2 linked regions of the Drosophila melanogaster genome follow. The protein of the gene in region 2 interacts with the protein of the main gene of each other region in a pairwise test. Each region holds a gene or a part of one and is shown on either strand. Other genes may lie near its edges.

Region 1 (7,439 bases), on a different chromosome or scaffold from region 2:
AAACCTCTCTCTAAATAGTTTTTTACCTCATTGATGATGCTCTTGTGGCGTGTGTCGAAATGTAAGTCCAGATGCTTCTCCTGGTAGAAGCTCTTGCCACATTTCCTGCACGTCCACTGAGTAGGTCGATCCCTCTGCTTGGCATCCTGGCGGGGGGCAAAGACATCCCGGAACGGATGGAGCGGGCACTCCAGCGGCAGCTTCACCTTTAAGTTGATTTGTCTCGGTAAGGCAGGTTTGAATCGAGGGAACTCCGATGTAGTGGACTTACCTGATGCTTGTCCAGAATGGGAGTCCATTTGGAGCGCACTATTTTGCGCACCAGTCGGCTGTTATCTCGCGAGCAGAGGATTCTGATCACATTCGTGGGTGGCCATGGTATTAGCAGCAGAAAGTAGACCAGTGCAATCTGAAAGTGTTTTAATTGGGTCTCTAGATTTGGCATGAAACCAGAACATACAACGTAGCCCAGCACGCAACTTTGCCGGCTGACCTAAAACCACCCTCCCTTTCTTTTTTGGGTCACTTAAAGTTGAAGGGAGACCCTCGCAGAAAATCGATAGCGAAAAAACTGAATGAAAGGGGTGGGCAGTTGCGTCTTCGCGGAACACGAAATCCGTGGGACGGGAACTGAAAAGACTGCTCGGAGGAGTTGCTCGCGACTCACCTCGAAATTATGATATTTAGGCGACATTCATACTATGTATTTATGGTCGTTGTGCTGTTGGTGTCTTGTTTTTTCGGTCTAGAAATCCTTTTTCTAGTTCTCCTTTTCCAACTCAACTTCACTTTCCAATGCGAGGTATGAAGTAAAGGATGGTAGGCAATAATATCTTTTAGCCTTGCCAATGACTGGTTTTTTCGGTTGTGGGTTCTGCTTTCTGATAAAATAAATAATAAAGCTGGATCGAGCTTGTCCACGTCCGCACTGGTACAAATTTCTTCGCTCTCTAATGTGAATTCGCTACTTCCTGTAACGCTCTCCCGATTGTTCGCTCTCGGTTTTACTCCCGTTAGAACGTTGTCCTGCGCCAGTTATCGACAGCTGAGCCAAGGTTGCAATAATGCAGCCTATCGATTGTCTTAATATAATAGTTTTCAAATTAAATTATTTCTGAGACAATCAAAAAATCCCTTTTAAAAACAGTAAATCAAAAATAGTAGCTTCCGCAAAGTTGTATATAATTTAAATCCGCTTTATTTTGTGGGGGTTGGTTTTTGTTGCAATTCCTTTTTGTCGGCAGGAACCGCCTTAATAGTTCCCTCTCATTACACTTTTGCTATTTTACAAAATTCTAAACTAAAATTAAATTGTTTTCGCACAACTTTTTTGAACAAAGTCATCTCTTGAATTAGGGGCGTTCCCAAATCAAAGTCGCCCTGTTAGTTAGGCATTTAAAAACTAGAGTACAGCCGGCGAGCACTTTTATTGGGGATGAAACATGGGTATTCACAGTCCATTGTATATGCGATTGATGGAGGATTGGTCGAGTATTTTCTTGAGCGCTAGAATTAGAAACGTTTATTAATGAAACAATTACTCTTGTGATAATGTATATGCTAACCTTCCTTGTCCTCCTCCGTAAGATCCTTCTTGGGGAACTCCACATCGAAGGTGATGTACAGGTTGCCGGTGAGGTTGTTGTTCTCAAAGTTGGGCATGCCCTCGCCCTTCTTGCGGATTCCTGCGCCAGTTATCGACAGCTGAGCCAAGGTTGCAATAATGCAGCCTATCGATTGTCTTAATATAATAGTTTTCAAATTAAATTATTTCTGAGACAATCAAAAAATCCCTTTTAAAAACAGTAAATCAAAAATAGTAGCTTCCGCAAAGTTGTATATAATTTAAATCCGCTTTATTTTGTGGGGGTTGGTTTTTGTTGCAATTCCTTTTTGTCGGCAGGAACCGCCTTAATAGTTCCCTCTCATTACACTTTTGCTATTTTACAAAATTCTAAACTAAAATTAAATTGTTTTCGCACAACTTTTTTGAACAAAGTCATCTCTTGAATTAGGGGCGTTCCCAAATCAAAGTCGCCCTGTTAGTTAGGCATTTAAAAACTAGAGTACAGCCGGCGAGCACTTTTATTGGGGATGAAACATGGGTATTCACAGTCCATTGTATATGCGATTGATGGAGGATTGGTCGAGTATTTTCTTGAGCGCTAGAATTAGAAACGTTTATTAATGAAACAATTACTCTTGTGATAATGTATATGCTAACCTTCCTTGTCCTCCTCCGTAAGATCCTTCTTGGGGAACTCCACATCGAAGGTGATGTACAGGTTGCCGGTGAGGTTGTTGTTCTCAAAGTTGGGCATGCCCTCGCCCTTCTTGCGGATTCTAGCGCCGGGCCACGTTACCTTCTCTCTCGTGACGGGCACCAGGTGTCCATCAAGGTGCTTGATCTCCATGGAGAAGCCGACAAGGGCATCCTGCAGACTGATGGTCACGTTCGTGTACAGATCATCATTCTTGCGCAGGAATCGCGGATGCGGCATTTGTTGAACCCGCACAATGAGGTCGCCGGGCTCCCCATCGATATGTGGCTCCCCCTCGGCCACGAACCTCGTCTCTTGGCCGTCGACCATGCCCTGTTCCACCTCGATCTCCAATGTGCGCTCCTCGTTGACTAGCTTCACGTTGGGACACTCGTCGCACACCGTCTGTTGGATCATCTGGAAGCGCCCGGGTCCAAGGTTCCGGGTGACCATCTCCTGGCGGCAGTTGCATTTCCTGGTGCCTGAGGCGGGTTTCGTTACAGGCTTGTTCCTCACAATTTCCACAAAGTTTCCGGAGTATAGCTCCTCCAGGGAAACGTACAAGTCCATTACGATATCGGCGCCTCGCGGAGCATCTTGCTGCTGGCCATCACCACCGAAGTGAAAGCCGAAGTCCCCAAAGAAGCTAGAGAACGGATCACCACCGTGATCCATCATGCCCTCCTTCTTGAGGCATTCCTCGCCGCAGCGGTCGTAGGTCTTCCGTTTGTCCGGATTGGAGAGGACTTCGTAGGCCGCTCCCAGGTCCTGGAACTTTGTGGAGGCATCCGGGTCGTCCTTGTTCTTATCCGGATGCAGCTCCTTGGCCAAACGGCGATACGCCTTCTTCACTTCGTTCGTGTTGGCGTTTTTCTTTACGTTCAGTATTTTGTAGAAGTCCCGGCCGGCAAATGACTCCTCCACCAGCAAGAGGGACAGCTGAATTATAACCAAGCACTTGATAAGCTGCATTTCGTTTTTGATCCTGTTTGATTCAGCAATTCATTCTTTTTAACCAGCTGATTCGAAATACGATTTTAAATGCTGGCAAAAGTGTAAAAAAATTGTAGTTGTCGCCGCTGGCAGCTTTGTTTGTGTGTGTGAGTCGTGGTCTGCGCTGATTGGTTGGCACTGTCGTTAGGGTTGTCACCACTTCTCTAACAGAACAGCTGTTTCGCATTACAGTCAATCCAAAAACTGTGGCAACGTTGCTTACAGTGCTGTTACAGCGCATATAAACGCTTCTGGTCACACTCGCCCAGCGAAGATAAAGAAATAAATTGTTTAATCCAATTTAGCCCAGCAAACTGCAAGTTTGCAGTTTATCTTTCTCTGCTTGCCCTCTTCGGCAACGCGAAAGTGCCTTTTTTTTAGTTGGATAGCAGCTTTCAGATCAATTCCAAAGGCGCTTCCCACGCTTGAGTTTAGCTGTAAAAGTAATAAGAAGGGAAGTCTGACAATTTGAATCCCTTTCGTACGGTACTTTTGCGATTCCAGGCACCAAAGGTAAAGGGACTAAGCGATCATCGAAGCGGGAAGTCCCAGAAAAATAAATTTACTCCGAACTATGGCATAATAAATGTCAAGGCCAAAGCAAAACAATAACAGAGCCATCAGAAGCTAATGCTAAAAGACGTAGTTGTGTGTGAGATAAAAGGTGAGTAATTCATCACTTTAATTATGCAGCCGGTAATGTGCAATAATACGTGAATATAACTGTACGCCTAATTCGCAACTGGTGATGTCAACACTTTAAGCGCAAGTTGATCGAGGTTTAAGTTCAACCAGAAAGCAAACATTTCACGGGATGCAAGCTATCGCCCTCAAAAGAGAGACAACATGCAGTAAACATATATAGTGCATACACAATGCAGTTTACAACAAACTATTTTAAAAACCATTTAATATTAATCAATTATTATTAATATTAATTCGCCTTAAACAGTTAACATGAATTCTCGAGTTATCCTACTGGGACTCGTACAAGCTCAAAAGGCTCTACTGTAGTTCCAGACCCCCTTTTTTGCCTGTTATCAGTCGTTAAACAAAGAAATATTCATTGTAGTATAGAGCCAGCCCAATAATCCGACAAAAACAAGACTGAGTCAGTCGACGGGAGGAAACAAAGCAGGGAATCGAAATTGCAATACGATATGCACCAGACTTACGATAAAAACAGGCCCCGTTCCTATTGCATTAAAAGAACTTTGGATTACAGGACGGATCAAGGCTGATATGGTATAGTAAAGCATATTTCGACCGAATTATCAGTATCTCCACAAAGCTAATCTTATCAGTGCCATAAATAGGAACCCCTTGTGAGAACATCTTGACCAACCAACCACAGAAGCAAATAGCCGAGAAATGCGGGTATTACCCAGATAACGATACTAAACACTATCTTAGACTTGAATGAATTTGAATTGCAGACAAGCATGGACATAAATAACATCTAGGCATGAAATTACCATAATTATAAATGTTTATAATATTAAAAGGAATTTTAACTATTGTAAATCAATCTGCCATAAAACCTACTCACTCGATCAGAATAACCACCCGAGTCGATCTAGCCATCCGCCTTCGCATGAACGCTTTGATCTCGCGAACTATAAATGTTAGAAAGATAAGATTTTCATTTCTATCGCTATGCTACAAATATTTGCAACATACCCACTCTGAATACCAAAATATTAAAATTTTGTGGCAGCCAGCTACCTGAGTTACGAGTAACTGAAAGTCGAGGAATTCGAGTAGAGTGATCTCTTTTTTGTGTTTCTCCAAACGCATCCAAGTTAATGCCAATCAAGCAAATATTCCCGACTAGCAAAGTCCAGAGATTAATAAACGAACCGAGTGGTAATTGAACGTCAAGTGAACCCATTAAAAGACACACAGTAGACCGCTGGCCACCAGTTTCGCCCTGCCAGGGGACGCGTACGGTTTTGATAGTTCCGATTGTGCTAAGGCCGGAATATTTTCGATCCCCTTTGATTGAAAACTAGTAAGTTTAGGCGACCTAAACAGTGGCAAGTGCTAGAAAACTGAATAGATCTGCGGATGTCTGCACTTGAAGTTGACTGTGCGGATAAGTGGGCTGTCCCACGTAATCTTCTCCAACTGTCATGGACTGCAAAATATATTCAAAAATATACACTTATAATCGCCGATGCTTATCGAATACTTAAGCAGGGACCAGCCGGCGATAAGCCTTGGTCTTATTATTTTCAAAATTACCAACTCTGCAGGGTGCCAGGATGGGTGTACCGGGAAATAAACTAATAAAAATTCGATACGGATTATGGACATTGATTATACAAGGAAAAATAACCCCACAAACTGTCTTCACTTCCAGATGCAACTAACTGCCTAGGGCTGGATTATTCCCACCTTGGCTATTCCTTAAAAGCGTGAACCTTTGGAATCCTACGTATCCACCATGTGCTGCAAGTGCTGCGGGGAAACTCAACGAAAGGTCTGGGTCTTCGGCTTGGGATCGGTTTTCCTTTTGCTGGGAATACTAATCGTGGTCTTCTGGCCGGGTATTGCAGATAACCTTGTAGAGGATGTAAGTATATTTAGCCGTCCGAGATTGCGTATTACAGGTTCAGGGAAATATGTTTACCGAACGATAACTAAAAAAAAAAAAGATTTTCATTTCGACATACTAAAATGAACTTAATCTTTACCCAGGGCCTTACCCTCAAGCCCGGGACTGATGCCTATGAAAGCTGGCTGGAGGCACCTATCCCCATTTACCTGAGCTTTTACATGTTCAATTGGACGAATCCCGAGGACATAAGGAACCCGGACATTAAGCCAAACTTCGTGGAAATGGGTCCGTACACCTTCCTGGAAAAGCACAAGAAGGAGAACTATACGTTTTACGATAATGCAACGGTGGCATATTATGAGCGCCGCACATGGTTCTTTGATCCGGAGAGATCCAATGGCACATTGGACGACATGGTGACTGCTGCCCATGCCATTACCGCCACGGTAGCGGATGAGATGCGAGACCAGCGCAAGATCGTCAAAAAAATCATAAACTTTATGCTGAACCATGAAGGCGGAAAGTTGTACGTAACCAAGCCGGTGGGCGAATGGATCTTCGAGGGTTACCAGGATAACATTACCGATTTCCTAAACCTGTTCAACACCACAAAGATCGACATACCCTACAAACGCTTCGGGTGGCTGGCGGACCGCAATGAGTCGCTGACTTACGATGGCTTGTTTACTATTCACACGGGCACTGACGATATATCTAATCTGGGTAGACTTACCCACTGGAATGGAAAATCAGAAACTGGATTTTACGAGATGCCTTGTGGCATTGTTAATGGAACCACGGGCGACATGTTCCCGCCAAAGATGAATGTAAACGATGAGATTACGATTTTTGCCACCGATGCTTGCAGATTTATGAACCTCCGGCCCCGGGGCACATACGAGAATCACGGCCTGACCGCCACTAAGTGGGTAGGCACCGAGGAGACTCTGGACTCCGGAGAAAACTACCCTAACCAGGCGTGCTTCTGTGATGAGGCGCGATTTGATGAATGTCCCAAGACCGGTGTCGTGGAGTGCAAGGCGTGCCGAGACAAAGCACCCATTTACTCCTCCTTCCCTCACTTTTACCTAGCGGATCAGTCGTATGTTGATGCTGTCAGTGGAATGAAGCCGGAGAAGGAGAAGCACGAGTTCTTCCTAGCCGTGGAACCGATTACTGGAGTGCCTGTCCAAGTGCATGGACGCATCCAGATTAATATGATGATTGAGCCCGATGACGACTTCGAGTAAGTAAAGTAAAAGTTCATGGATAAAAACTACTCATACGATTCATACAATTACGTACATAAAAGCAAAGGTCTCAAGGAAAATGTAAGTCATAAAGTAAATTTTATTTGCAGCATATATCGTGGAGTGCAAAAGGTTTTAATGCCCATGTTCTGGTTCGATCAGTATGCAGAGCTCTCCTCCGAATTGGCATCGAAGGCCAAGGTAAGACCTAATCCATATTTGAAATGTCTTTCATTTAAGTGCCATACTTTCCATTTCAGTTGGCCATTAATTTGTCCAGTTACGGAATCATATTCGGCTATTCCATGATAGCTTTTGCCAGTGTCTTTCTCATCACCGGCATCACGCTGACTGTGACGAAAAAGTGGGTGCGGC
Region 2 (9,670 bases):
TCCAGCTGATCCAGTTCGTCCTCATCCTGGGCTACATGCTGACCGTGGGCGCCAAGGGCTGCAACATGCCCAAGACACTGACCTTCTTCTTCGTGGGCAACACGGTCATCTTCCTTTACCTGTTCGGCAATTTCTATCGCAAGACCTACAAGAAGGCCAAGTCCGTGGATGGAGGCAGTCGCACCACCGGCAGTAGTTTGGCTCAATCCGCTCTGCGTGCCGCCGGCGGTATGGGTTGCATGCCGCAGACCATGAACGCCGGTAAGCATCTGCTCCAGAATGGCCAGGTCGGAAAGGCGTACATCGATCTGAACAACAACAGCGTGAAGCCCATGAAGCTGGAATGATCGGCGATGCCGAAAATGGTGTCGTTGGGATTTCAGTTAGCAATTATGTTTTTTAGAGCGGGGCTTAGTTCGTAACTCTTACCTTTACCTTTACCATTACCAACTATCAGTAGTCTGTAGTCTGCGGAGAATAACTTGTATAATGTTTATATGCCGGGCAGGCGGATGATGATTCAAATCCAAAAAGTAGCTAGGACCCTAAGTGCGTGAATGTGGCCATGTTTGTGTGACTGAGTATGTGTTAATGTTTTTCTAGCTGAGCGTGTATGAGAGCTAGTGTGATAGAGCTTATTAATGAAATGCAGCCGTAAATCGTTTCGCAAAACAAGAAAAATTCAATAAAACTTTAATTTTGTATATTTAATAAAACCAAAAAAGTCTGTGTCTGTTCTTTGCCGGTGAAATTCGGGTTCAGGTTTTGGGTTTTGGGGGTTTTTGGACTTCTATTTCTGCGCGAAGCTCTTGGGTTAGGTAATCAAACCGGATCCCATTGGATCCTATTATTTATGACAACGGCATGGCCACGCGCTCCATCCACACGCAAAGAAAAATTATGCAGATCTGCAAACCATTAAACGTGATTAATATCTGTCGATTGAGTGAAGATATACTACCTCTTTTTGTGCCAACTGTCTAATCAGAGAACAGATTAGAAATATCATAAAACAAAAGCACAAATTTTTGCATCCCTAAAAAACGATTCTTTAAATAAACCATATTTTTATGAGTGTAGAACCTAGTACGCGTGCTGCGATGATTATCCAACATTGTGTGTGCCCCGTCCATTTTGTTGGCCAGGCTTAGACACCCTGGCGACGATTGGAGAATGTCTTTGCCAAATTAGAATTTCTAATCAATTTTTTCTTAACTCGCCTTGACTCACACACATGCCTCCAGCATCACATGAAGCACCTTTATTTATGCAGATTTCGAGTATAAAACTCTTGTTGTTTTGTACACATTCGAGTCAAAGTTCAAGGGCCTGGAAAAGAGTTTGATTTGTATCTATGGGTAGGCGTGTTATTTTAAATGAGCCTCGTTTTTGCGACATTTGCATAGGTCAAACTCTATGTTGGTTTTAAAACTAAGAACGGCCTGAAAGTATGCCTTGAATTGTGATTATGGAAATTTTTTCCAGTTTCTTGGTAAATATATAAATAACGCCGGAGATCTTCATCTTCAATCGAAAGTCTGATAGAATCTATGCTGATCAGACCATAAAACTGGTATAATATTGGCATTAGCTTAGCTCCGGTTGGGGCCAGATAAAAACCGAAATTTTTGGCTGAGAGCTGCGCTTTGTTTTCTCATGTTTGTGGTCAAGATCAAGGCCAAGTGTCCAAACCGGCTTTATTGAATACTGTATCCGCACATCGGATGGCCGCAACCCCACTCGAAGATGCGTTTTCACTTCCGCTTCAGTTGCGTTCCGTCTTGACTGATTGATCAATAAAAGGCTGCGGAATTTATCAAAATCTTATCTCCTCCGTCGCCGCCGTTCAAGGTGCCTGCGAAATGAGCTCTAATGAGTGGCCAAGTGGTCGTCTTTCCAGAGTCTCGTAAAAATTCATGAACCGATCGTGTCCAGATCATCACCCCATAGACCAGTTGTACTAGCCACGCCCATTCAAATTTAAATCATTTTGGCTTCCGCTGCTGAATGAATAGGTTCTTGGTTATACATACATATATCAGCTGGTCAATCGATTTGAGTTGGTTCCTTGAGCAAAGGTTACCTCGTGCGATTTATCTGAGGCTTACTGAGATCATGAATGGCTAGATTGGGATGCAAATGGGTGTGATTGCTCTTTGGGAGATACCCCAATGTTGTCGAAAAGACAAATATACCATTAAAGTGGCTTGAAACCATAAATACAAGTTGAATGAACACAAATGATTACAGGAAATGCTTGAATATGCAATGTTTTCAAGGCCAATTGCATTAATTCATTATTTCTTTAAATGAAAAGTAATTCATTTAAAAGTATAATATATTATTGCGTCAAAAGGAAAAAACTTTTAAATGTATTGAAAACAAGATCATTCAAACTATAAAGAAATAGTATGGGGTACATGATCCTGATAAAGTGATCTATTAATTAAAAATGTCAGACTTTTTTGACAAATATACGATACATAAAAACAGATTTATATGAAAAATTCCCATAAAAGCAAAGTTGAGATCTTTTTCAGTATATTGACACTAGGAGTGTCAGTTCTCACTTCCGTTAATTTCCCATTCATAAGATAAAGAATAAGGCTCATTGTTTTTTTACGATATTTTTGTAGAAAAAATTCTAGATTTATTTGTAAATTGTGTTTGTATTTATGGTTTCGTTATTAGCTAGTTTTTCACTTGTTTAATGCCTACTTTACATACCACACGTATATAAAATCTAAAGAAAACACATTCGCATGCGTACCTACACTTATTTACACAACTAACGCTTCTTCTGCCTGTTTACTTAACTTAGTTCAGTTTCAGTTTTGGCCGAAAGACATACGACTTCTTTCATTTGGGTCCGCCCGACACGATGGCGAACTTCAAACGGAGCGAGCGATGATGATGACGATGGCGGCAAAAAGCAATTTCAACTGTTTGAACATTTACATTTACATTTACATAATATGTGTATCTGTGTCTCGAAAACCTCATTTGCTCAAATATCTATTCGTCTCGTTTCTGATTTTCTTTTTTTTTTCGTGCTTCACGTCTATTTGGCGGCGGATTACTTAAGAAATTAGTCAACAAGGTTGCACATAGAACATGGGTGGCTCTCAGTGGGTGTTTCTACCCGCCCTTTTGTACGAGTATTGAAGGGGTTTTGTGTGTTGAGGGTGGTGTGTGTGGGTGGGTGGCGGTGGGTGTTTGTGCTCCTCCCTCTTACAAGGCCTTCTGCTTCTCCTGCTGCAGCTGAATTGCCTTGTTGAGGTCCTTGGCACATCCATCATTATTGTTATCCGCCGACAGAGCCTTCTCCTTGGCAGCAGCCTGCTTCTTCTTGTAGGACTTCTGGTAGAAGTCGTTGAACAGGAAGTAGAAGAACACCGCGTTGGGCAGGGTAAAGCACACCGACCACCTGGGATACCCACAATCCGTGTACAACAGCTGCGTCTGGTGGATGAAGGCGCAGCAGAACTGGATCTGTAAGAATAATCGTAAAATCGGGAGACCATTAAGAGCTATCGATAAGGAAGAATGAGGTGCTATCTATTTCTGAATCTATCTGTTTTGTACTTATACTAATCTAGATAATTTTAAAATGAAATGGTTGTAGAGCTCTAGTATCTCACAACAAAATAAAACTATATATCACTTTTAAGTGCAGCCCTAAAATCAAAGAATACATTTGAATATTTTCCACTTAAGTGCTTTCCTATTTAGTTCTAAGATGAAGTCATTAGCAAAGCAAGTAATAAACCTCTTATAACCCCTCAAATTGAAATACTACAGATATCTATGGATAGCGTATAAAGCGTTCTTACCATCTGCAGGTTGGTGATGTACTTCTTCCACCACAGATACTTCTGCATCTGGGGTCCGAAGGCGGAGAGGAAGTAGTAGGAGTACATGATAATGTGCACGAAGGAGTTGATCCAGCCAATGAAGGTGCCATGTCCGCCGGGATAGTACTTGCTGGTGCCCCAGCTGATCATGGGCATCACCGTGTGATGGTAGACATGCAGGAAGGTCACCTGTCGGTCATTCTTGCGCAGCACAAAGAAAATGGTGTCCAGCAGCTCGGTAATCTTGGCCAGATAGTAGACATAGACGACGCGCGCCTCACGATACGCCTTGGGTGTGCGGGACCAATCAACCGGCTGGCACCGCCAGCTGTAGTACTGCCAGATGACCACGCCCTCGTAGACCATCCAAACACTGAGGGCTACCTGGAAGAAATTGTAGACGAGCAGGGTGCGTTCCAGCTTGAAGGGTTTGCGATCCTTCATGAACTTGGGTCCCCAGGACAGCACGAAGAAGAGATAGAAGGCCAGGATGCCCAGCAGGGGCAGTGGCGACTTGATCAGGAACCAGTCATTGGTGCGGGGATCTGCGTGGGAATATCAGGGATTTGATCAGCATCTATATGCGGCACAGGTAGTTCCCCTCCCCATCCAACTCACCTGCCAGATCGGTGAACAGAAAATTCCAATAGTCCACCTGTGTTGCGTTGACGGCTGCCATTTTTAAATTCTCCTCGTTGGACTCTTGCTCCCACAAATACGATTATATAGCGACGATCGTTTCGATGTGAAATTCAAAAATCTGCTTAGCCTGCGTCGCAACGAACGAGTTTTGCGAAATCTAAATGGAATTGGGAAGATCGGAAGGGAGTCTGGATGAGGGAAAGATCTTTTCGAGTTTTCGTAGTTAAGTTATGTTAATGCGATTCTCGAGCAACTAATGCCAAAGCTATAGCTTCAGCTACAGCTTTTGCCATTGCTTTTGCTGTTGCTGTTGCCGAGCCCAGAAATCTAAATAAAATTAAAATAATAATCAAACGAAGGCGAAGGAGAATAGCAAATAGCAAATGTGTGACGGTGACGGTGAAATGCCGTGAAATTATCATGTAACAGTAACAGTAAATTATATTCATTATTATGAATTAAACAACCGCAGCGCACAACAGCCCGCAACAAATTGGTGGCCACCTCAAAACTTCAACTCCATATGGCCCATACCATGGTTGGTTGGTTGCCTCACGACCCGAGATACAAGACCCAAGTAAATTGGGCAGTGCCTCAGTGCCTCACGTGTGGAACGCATAAAACCCACTCGCACACCCAGCTAAATTATATTTGTGTTGTGCAGTTTGTTTGGTTTTGAGCTGTTGCTTGCCACTCTCTTACGGATCTCGGGGATCTTCTACAGAAGTCGTTTAGTCCAAAGTGGGACAGAGTGAAGTGGTACTCCCGGTGATTAATCATCGCCAAGAACTTGCTCCTCCAAAGGGGGCATTTGAGAACCATCGAGCTATCAAGCACCCATGCTAAATTCCAAGCATTCACGTTCGTTGACTTGAAGTCGACTCACACTTGAACTTGGCTAAGGCCGATTAAGACCACAAAATAATCGAATAGCATTATGATTTCTTGCGTCGTTTTCGAGGCTATTCTGATCGGCTTCTTGGTCTGCGAAGTGAGGAACAAATTGAAATAAAAAAAAAAACGACTGAGGAGATATTTTGAAGGGCAACTTGGCCAACACTCCAGTCGGCTATCAGCAGCCATCAACAGGTTTGGCTTCAGCTCTCCGGTCATTTCCTGCACTTCAGGTGTTATGGCTCCGTTTGAATATTACCTGCAACAGTTAGCGCAGAATGGGGCCAGAAAATCTTGAGGGGGAAGGCGACAAATGGCAGTCATAAGCCAAAAGGTGCTAAACACTTTTGTTGGCCGCACAAAATACTGGCCAAGAAAATCCAGTTTATCAATTTTCAGTTGGAATTACGACCTTGCCATGCGTTTCTTGCTCTTTTTTATTTTGTGTGTGTTCGGGAATGGGTGGGAATTATGATCTAAGCCATAAGATGTCGCATCATTTGGACGCCGTCGTGTCTGGCTGATCATCGCCAGCCAATTTGAGGGTATTTCCACTTGGTTAGTCATTTGGTAAATGTCCGGAGATGTGGGAAACCTTGGAAGCACCTAGAGCGAGCAAATAGAAAATTGTGTCACCTATTGCCCAATTTGGACGACGGCGGTTTTGTTTTTGCCAAAATCAAATATGTGTCGCATTGGTTTAATGACCTTGACAGGTGGAGATCGCTAAACTCCTCATATGGCACTTGTTCTATGCAAAAAAAAAAAGTTTGCTGATCTAAGCTAAATATTAGGCATGGAAGTGAAAGATACAAAATATGAAGTATCATCTACTTGTGCTTCTAAGCAAATTTTAGAAAGATGTAAACACAAGCGTATCCTTGCTCATCTTTACTAGCCTTTTAAGTGTTGAAATACTTTGTTGATTTTTAAGGATATGTACCCTAACTATTGAAATGCACAAACTTTATAAACCTTTCCTTGTCAGCTGATCTGTCGATTGAATAGCTACAGAACTTCACTTTCAGGGACCTCTACCAGCGTATCAATCCAGTCTAAGCCACGAATTCTATAACTGCTCGCCTCCAACGATTGATCTGATTGATCACTCAGATATATCTACACACACACACTGGCACACACAGATGAAGCGGTTTGTTGGGCACCTGTTGCAATCTCTTCGATTGCCGTGCACTTAATTTTGAGCGACGACAACTTAATGTTAGCACCGTGACAACTGTTTTTTAGTCTTGTTCCATCTTTAGTCTTGCTCAAATGAGGCTGATATGAGGCACTATGTGGTGTGGTGTGGTATAGTATAGTTTAGTATGGTATATTATTGTATAGTGGGGAGATACCTTTGCTGGCATCCGCTACCCACGAGACTTGTACGCGCACTGAACTGCTCCGCCGAGTTGTACGGCGCTATGTATAAAAATTTCGACTAAAGGTTCGATTTGGCACTGCTGTTTCTTCGTCTCTGCCTTCCGATTTGTTTTTGTATCTGTATCTGTTTCTGTATCTGTATTCAGTTCATCTTCAGTTCGGCGTTTAGATTCAGCTTTAGTTTTTGTTTAGCCGAACTTTTGTCTCGGCTATTTGGCATCTTGCTCATCCTCATCTTTGACTTTAGCTTTAGCTTTAAGATGTTCTTTTGTGCCTCGTGGATTCCAAACGCTATATGCTATATGCTACATACACAAAATGTATCGAATGGTCTCGTATGGTCTCGTTTTTCTATGATAATTGCGATAACAATGTTGGTGTTGTGTGTGCGTGTTGCCGGCTTTTTGTTGCTGTTGTTGGCCAAAATCGTCTGGCTTTTAATTCGTTTTGTATTTGGTTGTGCAGCCTTTTGTACAATTAAAAGAATCATAAAATATTCTTGAATAGTTGTCACTTTTGATCGATTTGGTCAAAGCGATTGCGGTAGAACTTAGAGGATAGCGAATTTATGGCATTGAGCGTGCTTCCAGAAATTTGAATAACAAGACCTAATAAACAGAAAATTCATTTAAACATTTGCAAAGTAAAATGTTTTTATTTTAGAAAACACAGCCAATCCCAGCGGACAACTCTGATTAGTTTGCTAATAACAAACAGAAACTAACATTCTATCAAATGAGAATATATTCTACATATACGTATGTGTACCCTAATGATACTTTCATTTTCTCTCAATTAATAGCTTTTTAAACAACATTCAGTCATTATAGAGTATTATTTATCCATTCCCTTAGGCTCTTTCATCATTAGCCAGAATATGACAACAAACCCTAGAAATAGTCTCAAATCGCCTCAGAATGAAATGTTCATTCTATTTTGTTTTCGGTTTCTGGTAATTCTCCCTTTTTTTATATCTTCATCCAAATTCGCTTTCGTAACCTTGACCCACTTGAAATACTTATTCACGCTTTAACTCCAGTATGAACTTTAGAACCTAACCCAACTGAACTGAACTGAAACTGCGTAGGTGGTTTATAATTTCGTTGACCTTTTTTTTTGGCGAATCAGCGAAATTCCCTAGACTGTTTTACAAGCAATTTGAAAACTATTTAAAACAAGCCTAAAACATTGCTATTATCGGCATAAAGCGGAAAGGTTTACAGCCAGAAGTATTTCGTTAAAAGTGTTTGTAAAGTTTATTCAAGGAAACGGCGCATTTACCTGGCAATTTACATACAAATTCTTTGGGCCCAGGGCTCGGAATCAGATTCGGAATCGGATTCTAACGACCCACAATGATCGCAGCGCATCGATTAAGGCCCACTTCCGGGTCAAGTTAATGAAACCAAACCGATAGCAACTATTTTGGCCAAGACTTCGAACTTCGATGTCTGAGAAAAAAAAAAACAGAGGCTGAGGCTGGGGTCACCGAAATGTTAACTGTGTCACCGGCGAATTGAACTTGAACTTGCCGATTAGCTTATGCCAACCAGTTCGAGTTCGAATCCGAGTGGACTGCATAAGATGTGGGTGAATGTCGACCGGGCGTATGGTTGATCGGGTGAATCCCTTCGTTGGCCAGGAATCAATCATACGCCGTGTGCGCCTCAGCCAGTGACAAATTCTTCCGGTGTTTCGGATTTCATTTGCATTCGTCTTTTGTTTGGCCACCAGCCATCAAGCGGATCATAATCGTATGCAAAAGACGTTAGTTTATTATCGCTGTCGCTGCAGACGATTCATGCGATCGAGTTCGATATATATGTATGTATGTATGTATGTATATATAAATGTATCTGAGGGGTTGCTGCCAGTTATGCAAATATCTTCCGCAAACATTTACATTTAGCCAACAGTCAAACTGGCGAACAAACCGTTAAACAATTATTATTGAATTTGTTTGTATATTCGCGGCAAATTGCGTAGACAAAATTGAGTCGCAAGGGTAATAATCAAATGTGCAAAATGTCTTTGGCTTGTAGAACCCTCAATTGGCGATGGGACAAAACATTATAAAGTAATTATGATAACTGGTGATTTTTCTGCTTTCAAGGGCGTCAAACAGTTGAATCATTGATTTCCGATGATCAAACAATTTCAGCAAAGTTACTCCAATAAAACGAACTTTATTTTCCTGCCTACAGCAACTTGTAGTCGTAAGATTGTTAACAGCAATTGCAAATGAGGCTCTTAAATGTTTAATTGGCCGCATTAAAGTTTTTTGCGGTCCGCCGACTTCAATTTCCGAGCTTGGCTTTTTCACACGCTGCTGGCGCCATCTGGTGTTCAAGTTTGCAAAGCCAAGCTTAAAAAGCTTAACAATTTCGATGTGTTGCAAGCATGACTGAAAAATATTGGTTTAAATCTACAAAAGTTAAGACTAAAACTTGGCTAAAACTCTTTGAATTAAATTTTTATACAAATATTATTTTATACACAGCTGTAGACTGTGAAGAAAAAAGCCATGCAAATTTTTAAAACAAAATACAATAATTATTACAAACATTTTTTATTAGTTTTTAATGATCATAATACCATTATTAAATGTGGTAGGTTATAACCGATGATGAATTGATTGCTCAGGGATTCCCACAAAAATCACACGACAGACAAAAGATATAGTAGATCAATAATCTTGAATAATTTTAAATGATCATTATTGTCAAATATAAAAGTTTACTTTATGCTTTTATTTATCAACAAAATGTTGGCAATTTTGTAGCCTGCACTGCACCGAAGAACGTTCTTAACTTATCTTATACTTAACATATTATTATCATAGTATTTTTTAATAGAAAGAAATGTCTCTCATATAAAATATATGTTTATAATCA

The links. Proteins that work in one complex are often made in the same cells at the same time.
Region 1: the proteins of sit (region 2) and shv interact in a two-hybrid assay, tested with the Drosophila melanogaster proteins (one large-scale study listed by BioGRID).

Annotation. Positions count from the first base shown.
Region 1 is NT_033779.5:449,056-456,494, reverse strand, and holds shv (shriveled), read right to left. Parts: upstream 3,388-7,439; 5' UTR 3,234-3,387; coding exon 2,225-3,233; intron 2,166-2,224; coding exon 2,110-2,165; 3' UTR 1,841-2,109; downstream 1-1,840. Other genes in the region: CG4133 (uncharacterized protein), read right to left, coding at 27-206, 272-409, 668-694; crq (croquemort), read left to right, coding at 5,701-5,829, 5,955-7,060, 7,175-7,265, 7,325-7,439. UniProt on the Drosophila melanogaster protein: Maintains stem cell niche architecture in the testes.
Region 2 is NT_033777.3:22,555,777-22,565,446, forward strand, and holds sit (stuck in traffic), read right to left. Parts: upstream 6,797-9,670; 5' UTR 6,749-6,796; intron 4,654-6,748; 5' UTR 4,534-4,653; coding exon 4,473-4,533; intron 4,400-4,472; coding exon 3,834-4,399; intron 3,493-3,833; coding exon 3,232-3,492; 3' UTR 2,566-3,231; downstream 1-2,565. Other genes in the region: james bond, read left to right, coding at 1-347.